Linked DNA regions of Lepisosteus oculatus. The protein of the gene in region 4 purifies or fractionates together with the protein of the main gene of each other region. This does not show direct contact. Links are inferred from orthologs where the notes say so. Each region holds a gene or a part of one and is shown on either strand. Other genes may lie near its edges.

The links.
Region 1: the proteins of protein lin-28 homolog A (region 4) and dkc1 purify together in Homo sapiens (affinity purification with mass spectrometry; 3 studies listed by BioGRID and IntAct, with this or other methods). This does not show direct contact. The link is inferred for Lepisosteus oculatus from reciprocal best matches to the Homo sapiens genes LIN28A and DKC1.
Region 2: the proteins of protein lin-28 homolog A (region 4) and ltv1 purify together in Homo sapiens (affinity purification with mass spectrometry; 3 studies listed by BioGRID and IntAct, with this or other methods). This does not show direct contact. The link is inferred for Lepisosteus oculatus from reciprocal best matches to the Homo sapiens genes LIN28A and LTV1.
Region 3: the proteins of protein lin-28 homolog A (region 4) and ssb purify together in Homo sapiens (affinity purification with mass spectrometry; 3 studies listed by BioGRID and IntAct, with this or other methods). This does not show direct contact. The link is inferred for Lepisosteus oculatus from reciprocal best matches to the Homo sapiens genes LIN28A and SSB.

The regions. Positions count from the first base shown.
Region 1 is NC_090703.1:36,226,775-36,234,417, forward strand, and holds the start of dkc1 (H/ACA ribonucleoprotein complex subunit DKC1), read right to left. Parts: upstream 3,092-7,643; 5' UTR 3,057-3,091; coding exon 3,041-3,056; intron 1,927-3,040; coding exon 1,865-1,926; intron 1,729-1,864; coding exon 1,642-1,728; intron 1,577-1,641; exon of another isoform or gene 1,370-1,576; intron 860-1,369; coding exon 768-859; intron 474-767; exon of another isoform or gene 394-473; intron 262-393; coding exon 77-261; intron 1-76.
Region 2 is NC_090712.1:1,926,564-1,933,525, reverse strand, and holds the start of ltv1 (protein LTV1 homolog), read left to right. Parts: upstream 1-3,878; 5' UTR 3,879-4,151; coding exon 4,152-4,154; intron 4,155-4,397; coding exon 4,398-4,529; intron 4,530-5,123; coding exon 5,124-5,315; intron 5,316-5,639; coding exon 5,640-5,727; intron 5,728-6,188; coding exon 6,189-6,321; intron 6,322-6,962. UniProt on the Homo sapiens protein: Essential for ribosome biogenesis.
Region 3 is NC_090707.1:15,906,095-15,913,339, reverse strand, and holds the start of ssb (lupus La protein), read right to left. Parts: upstream 3,129-7,245; 5' UTR 3,069-3,128; coding exon 3,046-3,068; intron 2,317-3,045; coding exon 2,250-2,316; intron 2,121-2,249; coding exon 2,017-2,120; intron 1,160-2,016; coding exon 985-1,159; intron 898-984; coding exon 790-897; intron 707-789; coding exon 606-706; intron 102-605; coding exon 30-101; intron 1-29. Other genes in the region: klhl23 (kelch-like protein 23), read right to left, coding at 6,225-6,535. UniProt on the Homo sapiens protein: Binds to the 3' poly(U) terminus of nascent RNA polymerase III transcripts, protecting them from exonuclease digestion and facilitating their folding and maturation.
Region 4 is NC_090706.1:5,681,522-5,689,053, reverse strand, and holds the start of protein lin-28 homolog A, read right to left. Parts: upstream 3,137-7,532; 5' UTR 2,651-3,136; coding exon 2,635-2,650; intron 2,430-2,634; coding exon 2,370-2,429; intron 1-2,369. UniProt on the Homo sapiens protein: RNA-binding protein that inhibits processing of pre-let-7 miRNAs and regulates translation of mRNAs that control developmental timing, pluripotency and metabolism.

The DNA.
Region 1 (7,643 bases), on a different chromosome or scaffold from region 4:
TTTTCCTGTGTCACTTACAAGTGACTATAATTCACGATTTTCAGAGACTGAAAGAAGACAAGAAATACCCACTCACCAGCGCTCTGCTGGGACTTCACCAGACGCGTGGCTCTGTCTACACACACTATGAGACAGCCTGTGACTTTAGGGTCCAGAGTGCCACTGTGGCCTGTTTTCTCCACACGAAGAATCCGACGGATCCACGCCACCACTTCGTGAGAGGATGGGTTGGCGGGTTTATCCAAGTTAATAAAACCGGTCCTACAGATTTTAAAATATTTCAGTATAACTTCTAAGAATAGGAGATCACTCAGTATTAACTCAGAAAAAACAAATGCATAACACAAGGCCTACTAAAGGAGTTGTAATGGTTGCCTTAACATTTCTCCCTGAAGCCATCAGTCATGGGTGATAGATAGACAGTCATCTTTGCACAGAGTGCTAATGCAATCTACATAAAAACATCATTTGGCTTCTTGGATGTCATCAATCTATGAAATTAAAGCATTCTCTCAGATCTTAGACAACTCTTAAAGTAGAAAATTCTAACAATGTAAATTTGTCTGGTGTAAGGTAATATCTTCCTGCTGTAAGCACTAAAATACCTAAAACAGATTAATAAATCTTTCAATGTTAAACAGACAACCTGTTTCACATTTCACACAGGACGAAGAGTTTAAGTGCATTTTTCAAGTTAAGACTTTGCCAGCATTAGTTTCAATTAGAAAACCAAGATCCCTAAAGATACAGCAAAAAAAAAATTGTACCTGACATAATCCTGAATATTTCTCTTCAAGGGATTTGAGCCACTTGGGAGAGGTGTATAATGTGCTGTCCTTATGTTCAGCTTATCAAAGTTCTACAAAAAAAACAAATGAAAAAGGAGATTTTACACAAATGTATTTAGCATACCACCTTTGTCACACCTACACCATCCATCCATAAAGTGTTACTTTTCAAAGTGTCACCCAATTCTTCATTTAATACTTAATGGAATGGAAGAGAGGAGAAAGTCAAGGTTTTTATATATTGCTTACTGTACACTTCCTGAAAAAAATCTTTAATGAGCAAAAAGGCACAAGGCCAGGTGAAATGGTATTTACATTAATGTGCTGTGCTGCCTTACTGGAACCCTCCAGCACCGCATATACAACACTGTGTATTTGTAGAACTGTGATCTGCACCTTCATTCAGGTACAGTGATAAGGGAAATAATTCTGTATAAATCTGTTACTTTTTGGATTGAGAAGCAGATGTCTTACATTGTGCATATCCCAACAAAGTGAGCTATATTGTCATGTGAGGCAAGTACTGATCATTGGATGTTCTTTGTGCAACAGGCTACTTAACCCCTCCCCATCGAACTTGTGCGATCAGACTGTTTACTCGTCTCTGCAGAGGCTGGTTCTGCCTCTTGCTCCAGCTCTCCAGACTCCTGCTCCGCCCCCAGCAGAACACTGGAATGGCCAAGCCGAGTCTGGGAGCCGAGACACTTAGGCCTAGAACAGGCCGAGAGTGTTGCAGAGACAGAGGCCAGCAGTGCTCAGAGAATGGATAAACAAGTTCATCATCTCACATACAACACTATACATGGGAGCTTCCTAGAAGGATGACAGGAACGTATAATAATTATCTAGTTACCTTCAACAATAAAGGCCACTGAGAGGTATCAAGTGTTGGAATTTTGGACTCCGGTTTGATGAGGAAATCACCCATCTCTTGAAGTTCCTAAAGCGGGGGGGAAAATCCATTTGATGTTATGAAAATTTTAAATTACAATGTAAGCAATTATAAAAACTTCAAAGTTTACTGCACCCAAAAAAGTTGCTAACATTCCAAAAAAGCCATGTTACATGGAACCTACCCCAACTTCATCATCGGCAACTTTTTTCTCCTTCTTCTTCTTGTGCTTCTTAGCTGAGGAAACTGAGAAAAGAGAAAAGAAGAAACCCAAGAGTTCAAACCGTGGAAATTAATCATTCTCAGTAAATAATCATGGACTGTTGCTGTAACATTAGCACATCACGTCTCTTGATATGAATAATCATATGAATTAAGGTTACTTTCCTATAATAACTCTTACATCTGTAAACTCTTCTGGAAAAAAACAACAGGCTTTCTACATATAATTATTAAACAAAATAAATTCTTGGAATAAGAAAATCATCATGTTTCCATCATCAATGACAATTAGGAAAAGTCAAGTCCCTAAAATATTCTAATTTAGCAACTCTTCAGAGCATTCATGATCATAATTCGCACATAATGTATCTTTATTTGATTAATAATAGACATGCGGGCTGCATTGGTTTAGGGAAAACTGTTCAATACAACCACGTGGCAGACTCTGAAAACACGTGGTGACTAGAAAAAGACCACATTTGGCGGTGTGCAAGGCATTAATTTTTAAATGGATAAAAAAAATACCATAAGCACAATTGACTCACTGAATTAAAACGTATAGAATAATCGTTTTTAGTAATATCGTGCAGCATTCAGCAATCTTAAAGCAAATGTTAACTTTCGCTTTTAACTTCAAAAACAAAATTACAAAATTACAAAAGCTTGCTACTTCATCGATGAAAGTGACTACATTGTGGATTATAAAAAAATATCGAATGCAAAAAAGCTAGGTACATCCTCTGCAACAGTGAAATTCATGTATCTCTTCCTACTGTAAAGTTTATATTCAAAAACACAGCATTTAATGCGTTTGTACCCTACATATTAAGATTCAAGATCGCAATTATTAAAATTAAGACGCCTTAAATAGTGATATACACGTTGTAAGAGCCGGATTGATCAAACTTAAGATGTAAAAATACAGGCAAGTTGATCATTTATCGTCTAGTTGCACACTTGCCCCATGCAGCACACACGAGGTGAGATTTATTTTCTCTACAAAAGATCCAGTCTTAAATCGGTCTCAAAGAGCTTGAATTACTTTGTCCTATGTATCTCAGTACAATTGACTACTACTATTTCCCCTCGAATTGCATATAAAAATAAAGAAAAACCCAAAATTATTTTCCATGCCTACCCTCTACGTCCGCCATCTTCACTCTCTCAATGTGGAAAGGAACACGTGTGGTGTTCACTGCGCATGTCCTTTCCCGAGTCTTAGACCCGTGAAACACCGCGAGAGTCTGTCCTACATGATGTCATTTCTATTGCCTAAACAAATATGGGAGTTATTAGTTCAGCTCCTCTGTCTAGTGCGAGCTAGTGTGAAGGTTACTTTAAGGATGGATTAGTTCTAGTGTAAGGACATATTAATCGTATCGACTTGAGTTATTTATATTATTATTGTTGTAAATTAGAACAATGGTTAATATTGCTGCATTGCGATGCTGAGATCCTGGGATCAATTTTTGGTTTGCTGCTTGCAAGGACTCTGCATGTTCCGCAGTATTTGTATGGGTTTCCTGTAGGTGCTCTGCTTTTGCCCCACAGTCCAAAGACATAATGGTAAATTCATTGGCTTCTGCAAATAGACCCTGGTATGACAATGTGCGTTTTTGGTGTCTGTGTGAAACCTGTGATGGACTGGTATCCAGGGTGCATCCCACATTTCGCCCAATGCTTCCTGGGATTGGCTTTAATTCATCATGTCCCTGAATTAGATAAGTGGCTTTTGAAAGTGATGTGATGTATCATTTTATTTATTAATCTAAAGTTATTGACATTCTTTTTATTAATCTAAAGTTATTGACATTCGTTTTCTGTCATGTTTAAACAGGAGCTCCATATTGAGAGGACCCTTTCTAAACAGGATTTTTCCATCTCCTAAATTTAGTTTGACTCCATGAAATGAAATTATACATGAAAGGGAGGATTCATGAATAATATCTGGATTATTGTTTGTAATTAGAAATTAGATTCAGTACATCAGGTTTTTCACTAATCCCATGATTGTATCATAAACAGACTCCTTGTAGAGCCTATTGTGATGAAGCAGCCATGCTGTTGTATTAATATCTTTTCACTGTTAAAAAATGTATTTCCCAACCCTTCAACCAAATGTATTACCAACATCTTAGTTTCTTAATTTGCTTTTAGGTTTTTGCAATAAATTGTGATGAAAGTAGTAGTAAGACTAGGACTCGGGGTGTTTAGACAAAGGCTGATAGTGTCCCCTTGGGATATAGGCAGAATATGAATTAGAAAGAAAATAAAGAATCTATTGGCAAAAGGGGTGATTGAATAGAGGTACGTAATAAGCCTTAAAAAAACATGATTCCCTACAAAAAGTACGCACAGGGATGTAGCCTTTCAAAGAGCTCTATTGATGGGGTTACTGGCAGTAATGACAAGAGCACTTTCCTCTGGCTAGAGCCAGACCTAAAAATTTATTTTATGTCCCAAAAAGAAAACCACCTCTCGCACCGTCTCTCAAAATCACATCTTAAAATGTACTATTGAATTAATGCATTTTCTTTTAATTGCGCAACTTTCTATTTCTATTGTATTTAAGGGAAGATGTTGCATAACAGATGGTGTCAGGGTGCCCTTTTTACAACGCAAACACAAAACAAGTTCTATCTTCAGAATAATGAAGCTGATTTCTGCCAGTTATTATTAGCTTGGGCTAGGTTAAGTGGCTGGTTTCTTCGCCAGGGCTTCATTCTTTGTTTCCAGTATTAAGAAGAACAACACTATAACATGTATTAAGCAATAATTATATGTGGGCTCCAGAGTTGCTCAATATGTGAAGATGCTTGCTTGAGGACTGGCACTGGCACTGTGTGTTCCAAGCCCGGGTTAGGTCACTGTGACTGTGATGGGATTTCTCAAGTGGTTGACACATAATTGACTAAGCACAGCACAGGGTAGGGTTGGCATTAGTTAGCAAGGGCGCTTTTAGATCCCAACAAAACAGCAATTACTGCAAGCCTGCACCAGGACTGGCAAAGGAACTGCCTCTCCTTCAATTGGAGAAGTGCCTCCTGTGGCGAGCTGCGTGACCTGAGATGTATTAACAGATCAATGACTCAAAGGTGGGGAGGCCAGACACATCTGTCTGCACTTCCTTGTTGTCACTATGTGTTGGTACAAGATATGCACCTGTGAGCCGAGACATGAAAACACACAATTGCCAATTCCAAATTGAGTAGGTTTATTACCAAATAATTATTTGGAAGAAAGGTGTTAAAAATAATTATATTCTACTATCAAAATTGTAGGGATTTTTGATGATTCTTCATATCTTTTTTTTTTGTCTTCATGTGTCATGCATTTTGGTAGTTAACACACAGTGAAAAGGTGCAAACTTTTGCTATATACTTGGCAATTTAGCCTCCAGTGACCTCAGGAGTTGGGCCACTCACTTCACACTTAGTACTGAAAGAGGTAGCAGCCCACGGCCACTCCAAGGCTGTTTAGTTCTGCCCACCAACAAGCAGGATTTAGACCAGATTAACAAAACTCTAGGGCAATCAATGTAAAGTTTAATATAATTACAATATACAATATAGAGTGATCAGGACTTATGCATCCAGCCAAAGTATTTGATCTCGTGTCTAGAGTATGCAGGGTCTCATTCATAAGAGTTTTCTCTGGTTTTACCAGCTGCCTTTTGTTGTCTACGCTATATTTTGCCCTTAGGGTTAACTCCCTTTGGCTATATCTGAATAGCCCCAGTTATATAGATATAGTTCGGTACAAGAAAAGCTGTCCACATTTTCTATGTTCATGTGCTGTTTGGGGGAGTTTTAGCGTAGTGGGTAAGTCTCTGGACTCACTTTGGGTTGTGGGTGCAATTCCCTTCTGCAGACTTTACCCCACTTGCTGCAGTCCATCGGGGACCATCAGTTATTGGGTGGTAACCCCAGTGATGAACCAGAGTCCTGTCCTGAGGGGAGAGTGGCATAATGTCTGCTTAACACCAAAGGAACCATGATAGGCTCTGGTGTATTAAGCCAGTGTGGTTCAGATTTTAAGGCAAAAAGTTTAACATAAAATAAATAATATAGTACTGTATATTCAGGTAAATTATATCTAATATGGTACAGCAGTACCCACTTATTCCATATACACTTTGAAGTGAGGGGCCTATTTTTACTATTGCTTCAGCAATAAACTGATCCCAGTCCACGACAAGATCACTTGGAAAGGGTACTTAAAAGTAACTTTTTTTTCAATTTGGGCTTAATTTGGAGACTTACTGTATGAAAAGATGTTGTATTCCATCATAAATAAAATGCAAAGAAGAGAAGATAAAAGTGGCAATTCCAACAACCAGACGTAATCTTCTAATCTTGGTATATCGTTGTGTATTAGTATTGTCACCATTTTATCTTATTATAAACATGCACATTGAAAGCATTTTATATACATATACATATGAAACCAAAATCAAATAACAAAGACCACATAAGAAACAGCTGTCATGTTCAGTGGCCTTTTTAAAATCAGTTGTAAAGGCCTTGCCATTGCAATAGCTTTGTGACTTAACTTTTCAATTTTTGAAACATACTAGACTCTATAAAGTCCTAGAAGACCAACTAAAAAAACAGGAGAGCCCTATCTAGTCATCATTATTGTTATAAAAGCACTGATGAGAAAACATCATTTTAAATAAACATCAAGACAAGGTATCCACTGATACAGGGATTTTCTAAATCAATATTTCTTATTAAGAATTCAGAAACAATGAAATACTAATATTATTCTTTTTTGACCTAGTGATCACTGGATTCAAATAGCCTCTTAAATTTATGGTTAATAATGTTCCCCATTTCTCACACTTCAGACTGGCAACTGAATGTATGGTACTGCTAATCAGCTAGAGGTTTTTATACGTAAAACACTATTTTGTTTAATGAAAGATGTGGTTATCAGAATTTACTCTACTCAATAGCTTCCCAAGTCCAGGCATATAAAACAAAATTAGCAATTTTACTAACAATACTTCTTGCTATTGAACTATAAAAAGAATTGGAATAGACCGTTTACACTGGCTGGATATGAAACAAACAATTACTTTACAGAATAATTTTAAAGGCCAGTGGTACTGTATCTCAATGTGTTATACCCTCTCATTTAGAATGGCTTTGAGAATTTTGTTGCACAGAATGCTATGTGCTACTGTATATAGTTATATTTGTAAAAGGTCATCTTAGAAGATGCAACTAAAAAAGCATGGTGAAAGACACTTGGATGAAAAATTAAATATAAGAAAAGGCTTTAATAAGGTTCTATTCTCTGGACTTTAATATCAACAGTTATCAATTTTAAATTCAGTTTAATCATGCAAGTTAATTTTCCCCATTAAAACTGTCTGATATATACCATTTCAACGTAAAAGAGAGAAAAGTTTTTTTTAAAAAGTGGAAAATTCGTAAATGTTTAATGTGGCTTTTTATTTTAAAATTTGAGCTTTAACACAGTTGATAAGAAATAAGAGACAGAATACAACCTTTAAACGAGTTATTCCAATAGCTCTTAAAAGCAACTGAGATTGCATTTCAGATGATTAAAATGTAATACTGTATATACAGAAAAACACAAGATTCCTTGATTCTTCACAGACTTGAAAGTGCCATTTCACCGAGTTTTGCTGAGACAATATGCCAAAATCACTTCAATTGTACTGGAGCAAGTCACTCTTGGTCATCCTTCTTTCTCCAGAAGCCAGGATGTTG
Region 2 (6,962 bases), on a different chromosome or scaffold from region 4:
TTTTAATGCTCTGATTTTTTTTTAATGTTGCCCTGATGGAGTTTTAATGACATCAACTGAGGCCTAGGTGATATTTTAGAAACTGTAAATGTAATTTATGAACGTAATTATTTTTAAATTCTATGTGTCCTGTACAGAATGTATATAAACTTCATTAAATTCTCATTTACCTTCGAAGGGAGTGTACTTGTAAACAATTATTATATTATGTGAAAAATCATCGAGTATTTTTTAAAACCTACATTGTTACAGTATATAGTGAAAACATTTAAAAACACAATTGCATATATTACTTTGTATATAACACTGTATTTATTTCTGTGCCAGCTACATTGCAGTGGAGCAGCTCTTGAGCTCTGATAAACAGGAGTTCTTTGATGGACGTGACATAGTTTCAAAGCCTTTCTCCAAACAGTCGGCAGCCTCAATTCACTTGAAGTGTGAATGTGGAGTTTCTGTGAAGAGATTTCAGAGGGCTCTGTTTTATTTACTTCATGTTGTGAAGAGGCATCAAAAGTATCATGCAGACATAAAATATGAAGTGTCCCACATTCCAGAACTACACATCTTAAATATTTTGCATGTAGCTGATGTTGAAGAGGGAACTGGATTGTGTTGGAATGACTTCTTCATCTCGTGCAGAATGCCCTTTGTTAAAAGCCGCTTAACATTGATTTGTGTAAATTCACTGCAAAACATTAAGGACACTTTGTATGTTAAACTTTGCTGCCATTCCACGCTCTGGGCTGTCCACGTATTGTAAAGTGTGTTTGAGTTGCCAATTGTAAACCTTTTTTGTAGAATTTGAGGCACAGCTGTGGTTGTAGGATGTTTTACTGAAGCATCAACGGACTGTGTCCACTGCACAGTGTAGTATGAAACTACCAAATGTACAATAAAAGGGTTTTACTGTAACTTTTGTGTGTCAAAGCTGTGTGTGGGTATTGCTTCTTACCTTAAGCTTGTTTAATTTTCTTTAGAGGGTGGTATTTAAGTAATGTAGTAGAAAATTGTTGTCCTTTGTTAAACAACATCCTATGATTATATACAGTATTGTAGTACAGGGGTGGACAACTGGTTCGAGAGGGTTGCGGTACTGTTCGAATAACAGGTCTTTCACACTTGGAAGCTCGGTAATCCCTAACAATCAACTGATTTAACTTCCATTGGTACAATATGAGGAAGGCACTCATCCCTGGGACCACAGGGCCCAAGTAGCACAGGTTCTCTGGATGGAATCCAGAGATCCAGAAATGATCTCAGGACCCAGGCGCTGTGAGGCCGCAGTGCTCCAGCATGCCACCTGGAGCTCCCCTGTGACTGGCATTGTTCACTGGTCAGGCACATCTCTTCCCACAGGGTCCCTCAGTACTGTACATCCAGGAGCTGTCACCCACTGTGTCCCCTAGGTGCTGCTCCAGCTGCTCATTGCATCGGGGTAAGGCAGAGAATTACTAAACCAATGGAGCTACAGGGTGCGAGTCTCAAGAAACCTGAACTGAAATTTAGACAGGAGGTTTTAACCTCTACCATATGATATATAGAAATGCTCAGCTTTAGACCTCTATTAGGACCCTGTTCTGGGAACTCTCACACCTGATGGTTCTAGTTTCCACCAAGCTCTTTGCTTCATTGAACTAATGAGTTGGTTAATAAGCACTTTTCTCAATACTTTTTTATGCTCAAGCTGCAGATCTTAAGATAAAGTATATCCAAAACACAGGAGGTTAAAAAGCAATGCCCAGCTGTTTTAGGATAGAGTTCAAGTGAATCCTACTCCCAGCTTGACTGGTTCCTCTGAGTTTTTGGTTCCTCTCCTCCGTTGTCTTCTGGTCTTTTCTGTTCTGTATTGACTACACGTACGGTCACTTGCATTGTAAAGCGCCTTGGGGCAAACTTTTTGTGAAAGGCGCTATAGAAAAATAAATTGAATTGAATATTAACGTTTCTACATTTCAAAACACGTTTTTCCATTAGTAGGAAACATTTAACTGTTCAGTTTTTGAAGATGGGTCTTTATCTTAGGCCAGAAGAGGGCACTCTAACTGTTTCTACCATGTCCGGCATAACTATGGATATAAACAGACATTGACTGTCCGATCACTTCAACAGGTAACCAAATAACTGTGCTCTTAGACCAACATATCTCTTCCATTATTTCAACATCGTGATACACTAACTGCCACAAAGCATTGTTAGGTGAGGAAAGGTAATGAGCACAGGATATTAACAGTAGTACATGTATGACGAGAGGCTATAGGTTATCCGTAATGTCTACAACTAAATGGCATTTCACAGGAATGACGAAGTCATGCATATTCCAGTATTCCAGGCATATCGGTCATGTTATGAGAAATACGATTAGCCTCCAACATTGGAAAATAGCATTATGATATACTAGAAAACAGATGTGATTTATTTTTTGCCAGCAGCCATATCATGCTGTAACACACAATGTATATCCACTGAAGCTCAGCAGGTGTGAGCCTGGTCAGTACCTGGATAGGAGACCTCCTGGGAAAAACTATGGTTGTGGCTGAAATTGGTGTGAGTGGGACAAGTTGGGGGCGCTCATCCTGTGGTCTGTATGGGTCTGATGCCCCAGTATAGTCACAGGGACACTATATATCCAAGGGCGTTTCTCGAATAGAGTAGGGGTGTTACCTCGGCGTCCTGGCCAAATTCCCCCCCGGACTTTACCAATCACGGCCTGCTAATAATCCCTGTCTCTGAACTGGCTTCATCACTCTGTTCTCCTCCCCACTGAGAGCTGGTGTGCAGGGAGTGTACTGGCGCACTGTGGCTGCCGTCACATCATCCAGGTGGGGCTGCACACTGGTGGTGGTGGAGGGGATCTCCATTACCTGTAAAGCGCTTTGAGTGGAGTGTCCAGAAAAGCACTATATAACTCTTAGGAACTATGATGACATCTATGGGAAGTGTAGTCAGTCTCATTATCACCATCATCGTCATTATTATTATTATTATTATTATGATCTCAAAATCATTTGATAAAATCGCCTTTTCTGTTCATTTTACATAGCCTGTATAAACCGTCACTACAGGTCGTTTCAGGAAGGAAAATTCAGAAAATTGCAAAAAATCCTGTTTCAGTACCCTGTGCGTAAACTGTCGTACAGTATTATCACTTGGAATACTTATTTAGCTTTTTTGAATGTTTAGCGCTAACGAAAAATAGTTAATCCTCCCCGAAAGTCTGCTTTATATCTTTTATTTCACAAATATCCCTATCGCGTATCCAAAAAAAAATAATTCTGAGAAGGATGCAACCTAATGGATATTTACTCTAGATATCAGGATGAGCCCTTATTGTTCCCCTCGACACTTGAACAGTTCTGTGCTATAAAGGAAAACAAGTTTCAGTGGGCCAGTAAGTAGCAGTTCCTTCGGCCGCACTATTTTCAGGAGTAGGATTGTCAATCCCAGTGTCCTGGATAAATTCTAGTTCATATATTGAATTTATTTGCTCTGTAGTGGGACTCTCCCCTGCGTAAAACACTCTGGGATACTATGGAAAGAATGATTAAACACTATATAGTTGTAAGAAATTAATATTTCTTTTGAAAAAACTCGAATCTCTCTTATAGCCTATTTTTTTTTTCAGTGTATGCATAGTTGGTATCTGTTGCATTTGTCACGTGTAATCCTGTTTTGTACATTTCACCGAAACCCCGTCAACTTGGATTGCATGAATTTGATTAATATGTCTTGGCAAGTGTTCATCCGAAGGTCTATTTTCGATTACTTTCGTCTGATGGAAAGTACCAAGTGAAGAAAACATTCTTTTTCGAATATTTATATTATTTTATTTTGAGACGCCACAAAAATGTCCTATTTGAGTGTCTTGCTTTATTGTTATGGCAACATTTAAGATGAAGGCATAATGGCTCATTTAAAACGCCTATGGGGACACCGCAGCTACACGAATGAGATGGTCTTTTCCGTAATGGCGCTGGTAGCGTGTTCCAAGCTGGGGTGCAAGCGTGGTTTATACGCGTTTTAGAGTAAACGAAATTAATTAGGAAGGTGTCTGTTGTCATTTCAGATTAAGTTACCTGCGAGTCAGAAGATACATCCACTTCTACCGTAGTTGCATCTCTCTGGAATAATTACAGAACTTCAGCAAAGGCATGGTATGAATCTTTACCAATTACGCTTTTAACATTTGTTTTCAGTTTCTCTGCTTGTGTTGTGTTCGTTGTGTTGAATTTATCTTAACTGGGTTTAATGACCTTTGCTGCCCAAGACATTCCACTTTGGGTTAAACATTCAAATAAAATAAAACAGATAATTCTGAATTTCATTATGTGAGGTATGAAATCCATTTCTAATGTGTTTTAATAAACTGGGGACGTCGTACGTATTTATTTTGAAAGCCTCACAAGAAGAAGAAGCCTTTCATTGAGAAGAAGAAAGCAGTGACCTTTCACCTGGTGCACAGGAGCCAGCGAGACCCCCTTGCCGCGGATGAGAAGGCACCCCAACATGTGCTGTTACCTGCCTGCAAGGTGAGCCTGTCACTCGTCTTCTGCATTTCCTGCTTTGTTCCATTTCATTTATACGCCATCAAAAAGAACTGCCAAGGAGGAGTTAAAAGTTAATGTACTAAATTATTTATTGATTGATTGATTGATAGATACGTTATTGATCCCGTGAGGGAAATTGCAGAAATTCCTAATGCAAGAAATTGTATGGGGCTAATAAAGTGATGTTATGTTTTTTTTTAATGTACTAAATGCATTAACAGAACGCTTATCAAAACTTTACCAGAGGTAAAGACAGCTCTACTGTCTCACATATCTTCAGCCCTACTGTGTGTAATAACAACAGCCAGTTTTGCACAACTTCAGTCCTTAAAAGAGGGAGAACAGGCTTCACCAAGTCACTGCTTTGAGCTCCCTGTGTTCTCGCATTTAACCGAACTTAAGTAGCAAAGAAACTGTAGCAAACAAAAAGATCTGCAAACGACAATAGCAACTGTGCCACAACTTTCTCGTTTTTGAACAAATTATTGCTTGCATTTTAGCTAATGCTGTGTTTTTGTATTCGAGAGATCAGTGTGTAAAAGGAGGTGATTCACGGAAGATCTTTTCTTTTTCCAGGCAGATGCAGAGAAAAGGAAGGAGGAGCAGAGGGAGTATGGGGTGTTTTTTGATGACGATTATGACTACCTGCAGCACCTCAAAGAGCCCTCCGCCTCCACAGAGCTGGTCTCCTCCAGCAGACCGCACACAGACGGGCGGCTGCTCGTCACTGAAGGCGGCCCCGTGCAAGAGGAGGTCGAAACCATCCCTGTAAGGCCCTGTAACACACTGCTACAGACCAGCTATCTAATCAGTGCTGATGCTGCAGTGAAAGCATTCGTTTAGTCTTTTTATTTTTTTAGGTGTCATATGTTTTTCTAGTAAGAAAAACTATCAAGGTAAACGTCCAAAAGTGCTTCCTGCAATAATATAATTTTTCTATCAATCAAAAGTACAATGAGCCACCTGGTCTCAGAAGAGTATATGAGGAACCCGTAGCTACAGCCAGGGCTCAAGGATGGCACACGTATTTCACACCTGAAAGGAGAAATCTTCCCTTTTATAACCTTCAAACTCCTGGGTGTCTTTTCGCAGGCCGTTTCCATCAACCTGCCTTCCTCTGTGTTTGCCTCGGAGTTCGAGGAGGAGGTGGGACTGCTCAATAAAGCGGCACCAGTTACAGGTACGGCGCTGTGGCGAGGGAGCTGTGAGCGATGGGAGTGCAGTTAGAGCTGGTTTTTCACGGTGTGACCTGACACTGGCGGAAGGAAGGATACGGGGCGTGGAAATGATCCATAAACGGATCGAGTATGGCAGGAGCCAGTACTAGCTTGCTGGGAAAAAAGGGAGCACTTTTAGTTCTGACGTAGGAACCTTTGGAAATCATTAAATATCCAGCTACAGATGGAACTAAATTAACTGGAGATTAACTAGTTAGAAGATCGGTATTACAGCAATCATAAATCGGATAAATCCACTCAATACCACTCAATGCTCCCTGCGGTATAGCTGTAGAGGGCTGTAGTGGCTTCTCTAGAAGATGTCTTTCTGTATAGACTTCATCGCCTCCACCCCTGGTGCAGTGCAGACTAGTGTGTCGTAGTGGCGTCTGCACGGCATTCACCCTGTGCTTCTGTCTCCAAGGCCCTCGGCTGGACATGGATCCTGACATCGTGGCGGCTCTTGACGAGGACTTCAACTTTGACGATCCGGATAACATCCTGGAGGACGACTTTGTCCTGAAGGCGAACCAGCCTGGGGGGGACGCCGACTTGGGGTATGTCTGTTGCTCACTTATCGCTCTCTGTGTCGACCTACAAACCGCGGAGCTTGATCCCACCCTCCTCTGTATATCTTCCCTGTCTGCCCGTGTCAGCGTGGAGGAACGTAAGAGCACTAGAAGGGCCCTTCCTTTGCTAGTAGCTTTTTGACTCAACGATCGATCTCATCCAGCCATTTCTTGGAAGAAGCCATGGCATTGGTTTCAACACTGCTGAAAAGTTTGTTTCCAAAAACTGCCTCCTGTTCTCAGTTTCGAAGGCACTTATCAGTAGTTTCCATGCTTCTCTGTTATCTGGTTCTCTGTTGGTTCTGAATAAGTTAAGGGATCCCAGCCTTTTCCAGCAAGTGACTGGCAGTAATGGGGTCCCTGTCAGGAGCAGCGCAGTTCTAGGTGTTGATGGTGGTTTTGCGCCCCTCAGCCCCATGCAGTGCCCCATGGGAATGGAGCTGATGTCCCACATTGGGTCCTGACCTGTGCAGGCTGCCGTCTTTCAAAAGTCACGCTTTTCAAGACTGAGACAGAAGCTGCGTCTTTCGTTCGGAACTCTGCTACAGGACGGAAAGCCTGACGGAACTGCAGGGCGATACAGGACATCCAAACACAGTTGCTGCGACCCATGCTCGAACCCATGATCG
Region 3 (7,245 bases), on a different chromosome or scaffold from region 4:
TGTAAAAAATAAAAGGCAAGCCTACTTACTGTTTTGCTTTTGCCTTGGCTTCAGCTCTCAGCTGCTTTCTTTCTTCATTTTTCTTTGTAAAGTAATCCTCCCTAAAATAAATATGTTCTTAGAAAGTACTATTGTTTAACATTTCAGCTGTTCTTGACATACTTGTTGAGATGGTAAACTTCCACCCTCAAACTACTGCTGAAAAGATCCACCAGATCTTTCAATAAATAGCTAATCTAAGGATGTTATTAAGCCACCATGAATCAAATTAGCTAGGTTACAGAGAAGGAAGCCCTTTCGCCCTACTGACATGCATGGTCAGAAAGCTACAAAAATAACTTTACTCAAGAACACATTCTAGACGGACATGCAGGGCACACACACAATTTAAGTTACCAATTAAGTCAGCCAGCAGATCTTTGAAAGGTTGGAGGAAATAAAGAGAATGATTAACACGAATATACCAAGCCAAAACTGCATGCTAGAAAAGATGTTGCTGTACTCAGAGCCCATATATGTATGTAAAAACTATGAAAATGGACAATTGTGCACTTAAAATGCACTAATTAATACAATTTCACCACAGATCAGCAAAATATACCTACTTTAAAAGCACAATCATTTCATTGTCTTTGTATTTCAAATCTGGCATCTCAACAAACTTCTTAGCAGATTCATCCGTGTCAAAAACGATGAATACTGATCCCTATAAAAAGGCACAAAGAAAAAAGGTTAAAGACAAGAAAGACATAGAATATGAAATAATTTTTAAAAAGTCAGATATCCAACCTTGAACTGCTTTTGTGCATTCTTCCTCATTTGAATATTTTCAATATTTCCTTTGCCTTCTAGCCATTCCTTCACATCATCAAGACTTGAGTCTGTGGGAAAACCTTTCTGGGGAAAAAGAAGGAAATAAAGTCAGTGCAAATGATAAAAGAAATTCTACTTGAAGTATAAGAATCCAATGAAGGCCTTACTTACAATGTAGACTGATCTGTGTTTAACTGCATCTTTGTACTCGTCGTTAGCTTCGGGCAGAGGCTTATCTGGGGATCTTCTTATCTTTGACTTATCTTCACTGATTTCTATAAGCCCAGTTTTGGATTTTCTCAGTGAATCAGTAATCACATTGAAGTCTTTGGTTAAACGGCTCAGCCTACAGCAAGAAACAATCCAATCAGGATTCATTCCAGACAGACAATATCAGAATATTTAAGGAACACCTTTCAACGTTGTGATGTTTAAGAGCAAGTAAAATTCACTTTGAATTATGAAATATATAAACATTAGCTGCTGCAGTAGCAACACTAAAGACCTAATTCTACTTCACCTATTTTAGTTCAAATAGACAGTTGTTTCACCCTAAAAAGAACCAGCAATGCTATATACTCAGCCAGTAGAACAGGGTTATATAGCAAATATTAATACATCCCCATGAGTCACAGCAACTCCTTCTTGCTCTTAAACGTAACCCCTAAAGGGATTCCATTTAAGAATATATAAGGTTAAACACATTGCTATAGAACCCAGATCAGCCCTCATATGGGTCAATAACCATTTATAATTGTTTACTTCGATTTCATGCACATGACTTTAACACCCATAACAATTATTTATTTTATTAACCAGGTACAATACTGTCAAATATACGTGGCCACTTGAGTAGTATTAAATATTCTATGTATACTCCATTTAATAGACTTCAAAATAATGACGGTCGGTTTCAATAATCGCCGTTTTTAGTTTTTCTGCCAGCAGGTGGCGCAATTGACGCTGCCTTATACTCAAGCAAGTAAATATCAGGTCCAATACTAACACTAGACTGCATCTTGTGGTGTAGTGGGTTAATAAAGCATATCAGTGCGTTTACAGCAACATAAACAGATACTGCCCCTGAATAGACCGACTTTTTTTTTTTTTAAAAGCAGCACGTACACTGTAGTACATTTTACAAAGACAAGCACCAGATAGAACTGGGTTTGCGTGTTAGCACTGCTGTCAAACACTACATACCTGTTAAATTTGATCATGGTTTCAAGCGGCACCCATCCATCATCTAGCTGTATCTGCTCTTTGAGGAACTTGTCTCTTGGAAGATTATGGTCACCGAAATAGTACTGTTAAGGCAAAGAAATCCCACTCCTTTGGTAAAGCTGCACAGTATCATTGTGATTAACATTACATTGAGGGGCAATATATTGTTGCAACTCTCCTAAAAGATCATTAAAAGAAATCCTTAAATTTACCTCAATCTGTTCGGCAACTCTCTTCTCAAGGGTCGTCATTTCTTGGTTGGTATCTGCCATGTTTAATCTGAAAGGCACAATTTCTTAAAACATTAACACCCTGATGCATGCATGCATTTTTCACCTAACTGGTAATTTCAGATGTTTGCCCTGGGCGAACGCAGTCTTGCGCCCGTTTCTCGCCGGCTCCGGCTCCCTTGTACTGTATGTGATAAAGCGGTCAGAAATGGAAAGATGCAGATTTTCTTGAGGCTACAGGAATCTACTCCAGACAAAAATATCCCGTAGCATAATGGAGGGTCTCACTGAATTCATGAAGCGAGCATTCTCTAAATGTAGTATTGTACATATAATTACATCACAAATCGTAAACACGCGAAACAATCCAAGAGCAATTTTCCTTTTAAAAATTGATAAAACAATTCTGGGCTATGTTAAAACTTTATTCAACACAATTGCAAAGCAAAGTGGCGATACATTTCCTCCATTTCAGCCTAACGACCCGATTTAATACATCCAAAAGCGTTCTTCAGAGAGTTGAGAAAGCAGTTAACAGAAAATCGAGGCTTCCACACCGCCCATCTCCCCCTGCCGGAACATGAGGTCTCCACGTTTTTTTGTTTCGTCACAAAAAAAATCTGCATTGAAACCAGCATGTTTCACCACCCAACCAAAATTAAGCGACTTCATGCAAATTTAAAATTTACCGTTTAGGTTTGTGCCGTACTTGGACTTAACGCGTCCAATCCATAAGTATTCCGAGATGGACAAAATGACATTTAAAGCAGTTTCGTACCGGTATTTTCTCAGAAGCCTCATACGAACTTTACGTGGGAAGTTCGATTAGAAAAGAACACGCTGCACCCCGCAACACAGAAGCATTCATAGTTCTGAAGAACACAAACCAACATGTACATGAAGGAAAAAATAAGCCACAAAACTAACCTTATCCCTCTTTCCCCCAAATAACCGACGGCCCGTAGCTACCTGCTCTTGTAATAAGCTCTTATAGCACGCACTCTTATCCCAGAAACCACTGCGCTTCTACGGGGCGTGGGATGGCCCAAACGCTCTCACGTCCTACGAACGTCGAAATTGCTTCTGTTAGATCGCGTGTGCAGCAACCGAAAAGGGTGGTGTTTTTGGTCCTACGAAGACGATTGACCTATCCGAACAAACCATTCTCTATTACACAGAACGTGTAAAGCTTTGTAAAAATATATTAGAACAGATCGTGAAATCGCTATAGCCCGTGCTTGCTGTTTTCAGGAATAATAATATTATGATAAATCTGGAATGTGGTTAAATGGATTGTCTGTTAACAGCAGACTGTAAACGATATAATCACAGTTTATACACAGCCACGTAAATGATAACATGGCTAGTAATTGTTAATAATAACAGTTTATTCCTTATTACAAAATGCTGTGTGTTAACCAAAATTCATGAATTTCAAAATACCAAAAAACAAATATTACAAAAGCATTCAAACACATAGACAATTCAGTAGATTTCTGCTGAGGAATTTACAGTACACATTTTCGGTGTTCAATAGAAGTTGCTTGCATTTACATAATGATTTCTATCTGAAAAGATACCAAAGAGCTTTATATATAGGTGGGGGCCGCATTTCTCCAATGAATTCCAACATCCAGTCTCGGTCTTGCTTAGTTGCTGGGAGGAGGCTAGAAGGTGGCAGTGTTGTATGTTAGCTGAAATGAAATCATTCACCGCAAAAAAAAAATTCCAACAAATTCGGTTTAGTAAAAAAAAAATGACAAAGTAAATATCAAAATGGTAAACGTATCTCTAAAAGGTAATAACAAAACATAAACATTTCATGTGCAAATCAAGCGTTCTTGCAAACTGCTCTAAAACGTACCCAAACATTAGTCAAAGTGGTTATGGACGTGTAGACAAGACACAGAATGGGTTGTATGCAGTGCGGTTTTCCTGACCTTCTAATACTCTTGCTCTACCATATTTTTGTGCTTCTTGAAAAATCGTGTCTGAAACAAAACATAATTTATTTAAAAGAACTAAAAAAACATTCACCAATACACACAATGCTTTTAAAACATCATATTCTTCATAAATAATGCAAATACATTAGTAAACAAAATGAACAGATTTCCCCAAAAAATTATCCTTTGAGGAAATTCAACGGTGTTGAAATAAGAATCCTTTATTTTCTATAATTCCTTTTTCTAAAATCAAAGATATATACAGTAGTACAAAACACTGTAGCAACAATTTAATCAAAGTTTAAAAAACGTTTGCTGTACTAGATCATTGGAATACTGCAGCTGGTTATATGTCTAAAAAACTAGACTCATACATTAGAAAAATTCCTCTAGGCTTTTACTTGCTTTTGTGCTTTTTCTAGGTATTATGTCCACGTGCTATTCACAGATTGCTGAGCTCTTTCTGCTGTCAATAATGAGCCTTTTTTTTAATACCTAGAGGCAAAGGTGAACTCAAGCCAAAATGAACCAAAAGGTAATAATTCTGTTCACGATACAGAAGGGGAAGTGAAACATTTTTCTTCAGAGAACATAAAATGGCAGTTACTGTGATCCAAAGAGTTCATAAATAACAGAACGTAATTCTGTATTTCCAGAGCAATGGATAAAGGTACTTCATAATATTAGCCCAAATGTCCTTGAACACCAGTTACAGTAAAATAATACTCAGACGTCTGATCAACACATTTATCTCATCTGTATATACAGTATACTATATACACTAAGGATTGCACTAACTATACTTTTCAGGTGTTCATAGGGTAAATATAGATTCCTAAACTCTCTCTGGTGTCAGTGATAGGTGTTTTTAATAGCTATATAAGATCCTCAGACCTAACAGCAACTAAACGAGCTTGACTGGCCTCTTCTCATTTGTAACCATTATTATGTTCTTATCTACTGTATCTTATGATCTGTTCATTTTAAACAGTATCATTCTATTGGAAATACTCATTGTTATAACCCTATAATACTTTATTGCATCATAAAATAGTCTAATGTAAAATTTTAAATGAGAAATATTATGGTCTCTGTTAGGAAAAAAGCTCTTTTAACCCACCACATTAGCATAATAAACATGACCTTTTTTTCATTAAAATGTCTTGTGTTGGCTATGCTGCACATTTTTTAAGACCTCTTACTTGTCTTATTTCTTTTAGGCAATCTGAGGAAACATTTGCATACATTTTTCATCCCTAATGTAATTTTCCTTTTTGAGCTCTTAAAATCTTATTTCCTAAAATAACTTCCTTGGAAACATTTAAAAATTCTGACTCCTAGTGTGTAGCACTTTGATCCATGTCATGTTTTGCCACTTGCAGACATCTCTGTACAGTACAATACGCACAGCAGTCTGTGAAACCTGAAGTGGATCAGATCACTGCTCAAGGGTACACCTTTTTTGCTTCGCTAAAAAAAACAACAAAATCCATCATATTGATTGTCTGCTTTTTAAATCGAAGGGCTGCTGTTCTATCTTACAAAAGGCTGGGCACTCCTTAGAGAGAATAGCTTTTCAGATTTCTCCTGCTGACTCACAAACGCATGTGCTGCCTCAGATATCGTACATCAGCGCATGGAGTGATGGATGCTGCTGGTGTCATGTATGTTGGAAAGGACAAACTGTACCGAGACGGGGGTTAGCCCTGGCTCAGCTGTTCAGGAATTGCCATATAGAAACCTATGCCCTCAGGCCAAGGACAGGAGTGACCTGGTGCTAAGCGGGTTTCAGGGCATCTGAACCTCAGTGCTGAGCAAAGTAAAATGAAAGACCCAGAAATATATAGCCCCAGAGAGCGAGAAACACCGGAAGGACAGCAAAGCACCGGAAACAAGAGACAGGCCAGAGAAGGAGCGCCCTCTGGCTGCAGAGGGCGTGACAGCTGGTACTTCACCTTTGCCCTTTCTCAAATGGACGAGCCACTGCAGTCCAGATGCAATGAAGGCAGATCTACACACTGTAAACACAGACACAGCCATGCGATCGCATAGCACTGGGGAGGCTGCCAGCTATTTCCCACTTGTCCTGCTCGGGGTCGTACTTCTCTATGCTCTGAAGGTAAGTTCCTTTGGAGTAGGAGTATCCTCCTGTGACGTAAATACAGCCGTGCATGACGACAGCCCCACACTCCATTCTTCTCTCCTTCATCGCAGACATCTGCCTCCATTGGTCCTTTTCCGGGTCATAGCAGTCGGTGATGGTGGTCTGTCCACCAACCAGGTACAGCTTGTCGCTCAGAGCCACAGAACACAGGCCGTACTCTAGGGAGGTAACGAAAATGAAAGTAAGGGACTTTTCTGATTTTTACAAACTAGAAACAGCGTATAACTAGACAACCTTCATGTAACTGTTAAGAATGCTTCTGGTACTCCGGATGTGGTTGTGTTTTTGAGTAGGTGATCAGGGGTTGAACGGTAATTACATGCAAAATGACACTTTTAGTGAATATCACGACAGGAGTTTAGTTTTATTACTGTGTCAATGTTTTCACAGCCCTTCTGCATGGAATACCTTGAAAATGACTGAACAGTATGAGCGTGCTTTGAAAGAAGACCCTTCATTGTTTTGTGTAATTTTTTCCTTTTTTTCCAATTTTTTCCTTTTTTTAAAATTGTATAATGTTAGCATGCCCAAAGAGGTTGGGCAGCCAGTTGACCTTGGACCCCTAGAGGGTTTTTTTCTCCTTACTAAGATGTTTTTGGTTCCTCTCCTCCATTGTCTTCTGGTCTTTTCTGTTCTGTATTCACAACACGTATGGTCACTTGCTTTGTCAAGCACCTTGGGGGCAACCTTGTTGTGAAAGGCACTATATAAAAATAATTTGAATTGAATTGAATAATCCCAAAAGCCTTGATTTACAGCCCCCACCTCCACACTAGAATACACCTTGGAGTGTCTGCTGTGCTTCTCAATCCTTCTCTTGTTAGTCCAGTGCTTTCTGTAGAGCAGACTACATGGAAATGAGTGTGCC
Region 4 (7,532 bases):
TGTATATTCTTCACGGAATATAAGAAGCCCATTTTCAAAAGTTATGGACGTTAAATAGGTATCTGGTCCCGTCACAAAAATAAATATTCATGTACATATTTTACCGATATGACATAGGAGCTTTGAGAATCGAACATAGTGGGAAAAAATCGTCTGATTTCACGGGAAAAAGCGGATTAATAGTGGTTTTTATTTGACCAAATCTGATGTATCTGAATAAAAAAAAGGGGACCGTTCCGAACTTAACATTTTAAACAAAAGTACCCCATGTACTGAAGTATTATGGATTAGTATTAAGCCTTGCCACTAGGAAATCAATATATCCTTCCTTTGATTTTCTGTAACCATCAGGTTATTGCAAAACAGCCACCGCAGTGTGCTCCACCATTATATTAAATACGGAAGATTACCTCCATCGCGTCTGGCTGCTGCAGTGGTTGTTACGTTTATTTTTCATCGGCTACTTTAGAACATACATGTTCTAAATTAATTATCGGCTTTAATTATCATGCAACTAGCTATATCTCAAATCTGCAGCAATATACGCTGTAGCAGTTACCACTGCCATTTTAAAACCAGTCAATGGCGTAACATTACATTACAAAAAGGGGTACTCTTCACTCAAAACTGCTTTTTCTATTGGGACACAGTTCTCACGTTTTTAAATTTGACAACATTTTGAGTGAATATCCAATGATATGAAAGAACCACAAGTTAACTGATAAGTCATTAATGGACTACCGCATCGTATGAAAAATATTATATTTGTGGTTGACAAAAAATGAAATAGGATGCAACTTTGCTTTAAACTGGAAAATGAGGGACAATAAAAGCGTTAGTTAATATATCACAACCCAAGAAATTGAATTCATTGTTTTTAGCCCCACGTAAAATATGCGGTTTCAGAAGGAGCCGCCAATAAATCAAAACCTGGCACGAATAATAATTTGTTTGCCAAAATGTTCTTCTTCGTATCAATTGATTTTGACATGCGATCCTTTTTTAATTCGGGTCTAGATGGTAATTAAGGGGAAAAGGAAACACAAATCAATATCCAAACTAGTTTTATGTCCAAAACGAAATAAACTATTTGATGTTGTCGTTTACAGACAAATCTATCAAAAATACGAAATAATGATTGCACGATAAACAGCAGAAGAAATGTTCATGGTCAAATGTTTACAACAGTGCAGTGAAGAAATCAATACATTGATTTATTGAAAAATCCAAACATCCGAAAAAGAGCATTCAGGCACTTCACACACACATCAGTAACGAATGACAATCACCACGTAGCCCCAAAGTAAGATTTTTTTTACATTACTTTAAAATGATCGATACTATGGAAAATATAAAATATCCTTTGTATTATATTTTATAAATAAAATTATACCGAAACGCGCTGTAAAATCGAATCGTTAAAGAGTTAAATATTAGTAAAACGTCAGCTATTTTGAATACATTTTAGGTATTTCAAATTTAATGTATATGTGCAAAAACGTAAGTTAGACAAAACGAATCTAAAAATATAGAAATAGCCTATCAAGCAAAATCTAATTAATTCTGTCGTGTCTTGGGAAATTATTAGTTTAGCACATTTCGTTTTGTAAAAAATGTACGTATTTACTATAGCCATTGTAAGTACAATGTTAAGTAGGCGAAAGTAGAAGAGCAGACAGCCCTGTGAGCAAATTTCGTCTTCCTAAACCGCCTCATCTCAAGCCAACAGAATCATCACACATACGTCTCCAGCAATTTGAGCGGCACGGAATTACGTTTTCGATATTTACACATATTTCTAACTTTTCTTCAAACTCTCTTGAGTGCCATAATCCATATCTGTTGCGCGAAGGAAAACGAGCGGCGCTATCAATTGTTCTCCTCTTCGTGATTCAGCCTTGCAGACAATACTTTAATAGGAAGCTTTCTAAATGAAACACTTAAAATTACGCTTTCGTTCCCAGAAGGCCAAATCATCCTAATTTGTATGACTTCGAAAGCTGATCAAAACGTCTAACTCTTCACTCAGAATTGCTTTTGGTCTTTTGGTTTTCGCAATCGAATAAATATTTTACTTAGGGCTGTTTTGTGTAAAAAAAGTTAAATTGCCTAAGTACAGTATGCTATGCAAGGTGGATCAAAGTTGGGAAAGATGTTTTTTTTTTCATGACTGTTGAGAGGGCATGTGAATAATTCTCGTATCCCTAGAAACACACGTCCGCATGTTGGTGCTCCTAGCCGTGGCACGCGAAGGCATTTTGACTCCCAGCGCACGCGAGCGTGCTGTCGTGGTGACGCGCCGCTCGAGATCCTCGCTGATCGCGTGCGTGTTTCGCACGATAAAAGAAACGCGGCTTTAAGAAACTGACCTGAGCCGGTGTAGTAGCGCCACACCTGGGCAGGAGTCATTAAACCCCGAGAATGCGAACCTGTAACCAAAAAAAAAAAACGCCAACATAGATTAAACGATCCACCTTTGTGTGCCTGTGCGCTTCTTTTAGACAGCTAGCCGAGAGGAGTAATGAGAAAACCACTCTCTGTTGTCGTAGTTAGCATCCATCCTGTAGCTAACTTGGCAGTCCAGTTAAGCTAGATAGATGATTGATTAGACAGATATGCGATGCACGTACTCACCAAAGCACAGGCCCATAGCTGCAAGATAAAATATATCGGGAGACCTAGACCAGAGCCTCAAAATGAAGATTCTTAAGGGACTGGACCGCAAAGATCAGGTTATTCCACAGTGACAAACGCAATCTACAGTTTCAGATGTTTTCATTGCGGGGAAAACAGAAAATAGAATGTTTTTCAATATATGTAAAACCAATATAAAGGGAAACGCAATTGCTTGTCCAATATTACAGAGCTAATCCAGTAAGTAATTCGGTCGCTCCCCCCCAGTCCGAAGAACCGTCTTCTTCCCTCTCTTGATCTCGTGTCTCTCGCTGCCGTCTTTTATACCTGCAGAAGGCGAGCTAGACGACAGGCAGATTTAAATTTGATGTTACAATAATACACCGAGATATTCGTTAACCCCGTGCTGCCGCTGTACGCCTCCGCTTTTAATGACTAATTAATGTAAAACCTCAAAGTGTGAGTTTGCAGATGGCGTCTTCACCCCCCATTGTGCCAAAGGTAGAACCGCCAGCCCCTCAGACAATCAAGGACAATTAAGCCGCATCTGCTTTGGAGGAAAATTTAAGATGCTGGCGATGCGTCACCTCGGAGAGGGCTTGCGGTCGTCGGCTGAGCTGCAACTCACCTGTTGAGGCATAAGGAGACGATTGTTAGGGAAACCCGCAGGGCTGTGTTAGTCAGGCGTGAGTCACATTTTCACCAGGAAAGTTGTAAGCTTTCCGCAAATCCGAAACCACTGGTGAGCTAGCAGTGGCGTTTCTGTCAGCCCCGCTGTACCTGTGTCACAGCTGCTGGTCGTGAACCAAAGAGCCCGCGATGTCGCGGGGGATACATGCCCGATGGTAGCCGTCTGCCCAAATCTGTTTTTCTTATTAAAGAATATTACGCTGTTTCAAATATATTACTGTAGGGAAAACACTGGGCTTCCTCGCCCTGCAAAAAAGGTTCTTTCTTTTCAATCACCGACGCTGACCGAAAATTAGTTTTTTTTTTTCAAGTTGGAGGGGGGAAAGAAATGGAAGAGGCTTAATTATATTATATATAATAATATATATAATTATATATTTTTTGGCGTACATTGCATACAGGGATACTGTCTAGGCATCTTTATTAAGCATTCAATCAAGCTATTGCTTGTCACAAAGTCACAAAGACAATTCCGACAGACATCCAGAACCAGATGAGACAATCTGTTAACCTGCATTATTTTGTCAATGGACCAAGCGTTCACATTGTCGAAGGTTTTTTTTTTAAGTCATGTGTTAAAAGCATTTAAATCCACTAACAAAACTTAGATTGAAGTTTGATACTAAAATGTGCATTATGCTACCACTGAAATTCTTTCTACATTTGTTTGTTTTACTTATATTTTTAAAGGGTTAAAATATTTTAAATTTAATATAACATACAGATTCTTTCTGGCTTCTTTCTGCCTGTGGGAGATAAATAGGACTAATACACTTTTGTACAAATGGCAGGCTTAGAACAGTTTCCATGACAACTCATGGTCCTTCTTTGCCTATAGAAAGAGGAAGTGACCTTTGCCTGACCTTTGTCACATAGAGATGCTTGGAAACAATGCAGCGCGTGCTCAGAAAAGACCTACACTTTCAATGAACGAGGATTCAGATATTACAGCTCAGGAGAACGTCTCCCTAGGTGTCTAATCAGAGCTACCTCTAAAGGACTTTAACAGCCTGTTGAAAGAAACTGGGCACTCTTCAGTCACAGGTACTTTAACTGTAGATCCTTCCTTGTACTAACAGTCACAACCCACATGTATATTTTTTGCTGACCAAGCTTTCACTAAAAGCTAACAAAGGACAAATGGGAGTTTCTCTTTACTTAAACAATAAGAAAAATATAAGCCCATCGTTGGTGATCGGTAAAGAATTTCCTTGTACACAGGTCTGAATAAATGTTTCTCTGCTTTTAAAATGTTTGAGCAACATTTAATGATTGTGGTCATTCCGATTCACACAAATTGCCAGAAACAAAGGGAAATGTTTGACCCCCCTACAAAAGTATGAAAAGTAGCAATGTGTATGCCCATGCCCTCACACTGTGAATCTGATCTGACCAGGCTTACCTGTCATTATAGCATTACATTGTCATGACCATGTCTTACATGATGAAGTGGCCATCAGGTAATGTGTGGAAGCATGGCTTAGGTCCAGGTCACTGCAGATCGGAATAAAAAAGCCAGGAGGAAGTGCTAAAGAGTGCTGTTGTCTGCTTACATTGCACAATTTCACACAACATAACAGCTTTCCCTATGCAATCGATGTAAAGGGGCAGCCCTCCCTTTCCGGCAAGCACACTGGCCAGAACAGATAACAGCCCTGCGTCCACGAATAACAGCCTGTCAAATTCAAGCCCTCCCACCCCTGAACACCAGTAAATAATCAATACACTGATATGGGGCCCCGATCAATTCTCTCATTTAAAAGCGCTCTTCTTGTCTCACACTATTATGCGATGATCCCAGAATTCCCACACCTGCCTGAATCCGATCAGCTTCCGATCTTCTGGGGGCAAAGGGCAGGAAATCCAACAGAGCTAACGGGCCAGTTCGCGATCTCCTGCCCCAGCCGGAGGGGCAGAGGGTGATCCAGTCTCACAATAATGTTTAGGGGATGTAAGTAAATGTGCAATGATATGTTTGTATTGTCAATGACTGTAAACGATGGTATAATAGCTGCTTTCCTAACATTGTAATCAATCTGTTATGCCAATAAAGCTCTTTGAATCTGAAAATTCGAATACAAATCTGATTCTTCTTCCACAGACCCCTCCAGGCTTTAAAATCCTTGCTTTCTAGATCAGAAACGCCTACCATGCAGGATTTTTAAAATGTCACTGACTCACAGGAGTCAATAAGGGACAGAGGATAGTGGCTTGGATGGATTTATAGCAATCCAATCACAAACACCCCTAGATAGGCCAGAACAGCAATACGCCAGCAATTTTTGTCGCCATTTATTTTTCTTAAGGTTTTCCCAGTCCTTTCCGCGATCTGACAAAGAGCAGCATGCCTAACCTGATCTTAATCATTCCTGCCATTTCCAGGCAACGTCTCTCTGGATTGATTGGCTGTTGGATTGGTTGGCAGATCAATGCAAAAACAAATCCGGTCCCATTCATAATGCTGCTAAGTGACTAACCGTTTGGGGGAGAAGAGAAACGCGATCGATAACAGAGGTGTACGACCCTGGCCCTGCCAGCAATGAAACCTGAAAACAGCTGTAGCTGAAGTGCCACGCAATGTTTATTTTCTCTCGTACGAAAAGGAGCAAAAAAAAAAAAAGGCAGTCTCAGCAGGGAAGGCAGTTAATCTTTTGAGAACCTTACAATCCCCCCCCAGCTCGTGTTTCCGGCAGCTAGCAGGAAAAAAGACAATTGCTTACTTACTGGCAAAATCCCCCCTCACCACTCCTCGTGCGCAGTGCAAGAAGGGAACTGAATCAATGTGACAGGCGGCTTCAGAACATTGGACAGCACTGGGAAGCAGGGAAGCAGGGAGAGAAGAGCAGCCTGACCTTCCTGGCATGAGCCAGATCAGTGCGTGTCCAGGACCTGAGGGAGGCTGACTTTGCATGTCCCAGCCGTAGTTTTTCCCCCTCTCTTGAGATTTCTCCTTCTCTTGGGAGCATCCTGCGCTCGACGTGATCAACACAACCCATGCAGCCCCCGTACCGTTAAGAAGACCGCCATGCCCGATGAGGTTTGGATGGTTTTGGAGCTCTGAATACATATGGCCTCTGTCTGATAACAGGGCAGCGGACTGCTTGCTCTGCCTCATTTTCAACCAGCCCGACGTTGCCCATCCTCCCCACAGAACCAACATCGAATGTTTTCTCTCTGCAGCTGCACTTAAATCTCCGTCAACTTATAAAACAACACTCTCATGTTACAGAAGTACTGTATAAGGGCTATTTCAGTCTGTTCAGCAGTGAACAACTCTGCCTCCATTGGTCCCCAGGGACACGTAGATTTAAGTCTTTTCCTTTTCAGTACTTGATTGCATTCAGTAGGTGTTATGTGCTAATAATAAACCACCTTTAGGACGTTCTGCTATTAAGTTAAAATAAAAAATTAAATGAATCCCATTGCTGTGGAAAAAAAAACATTCCTCACATGGGATGAGCTAGTTGCCATTGGAAAATGCCAGATTTCAAGCACATAGAGGAAATAAAATTAAGGAGGTCAAATAAAACTACAACAAATTGCAACAACGTACAGTAGTTAAGATATATTGGTAGTTTCATGTTTTACAAACAGATGAATAATTATTATCTGATTAAAGAAAATCGTCTGCTGAATTAAAACTAAGGACCAAGTTTAACTTCCGCTCCATTCCAACAACATGTTCTGTTGAGTTACTGTTGAAGAGAAGCTAATGTATTCACATTGCAGTCACGAACTTCAAAGCGGCCTCTAAAAGAAAGCCCTAAACTAAAAAGGCTAGCCTAATTATTTAGCGGCGTTCACGTACAGTAACTGTACCACAGCACCCAAATTCAGGATATTTTTTGTTTTCGATCGGTCCGCGGCCGGAAACCGTCGGAAGGTCTAGCGCTCCCTCTCGTGGTTAGAAGGTAGATTATTTCTTGACGCCAAATACAGTCACTGTTCTCCGATTTTCCGAATATCTTCGATCTGTTGATGTTCTTAATGTCAGAAAGTGAAACTGAAATCAAATTTACTGGAGGAAATTTAGCTATCAGATCATACGAAACATCTTTGCTGAGGTTATTTTTCTCTCCTCCTCGACTGCTACACGAATCCCACGTAGACACAAACGGACAAACTCGTCGCAAATGGAGAGAAAAAGGTTCACTAAGACTGCGAGGTGCTCTACTGGGGAGTGTATAATGTTATGAATATGCATACTA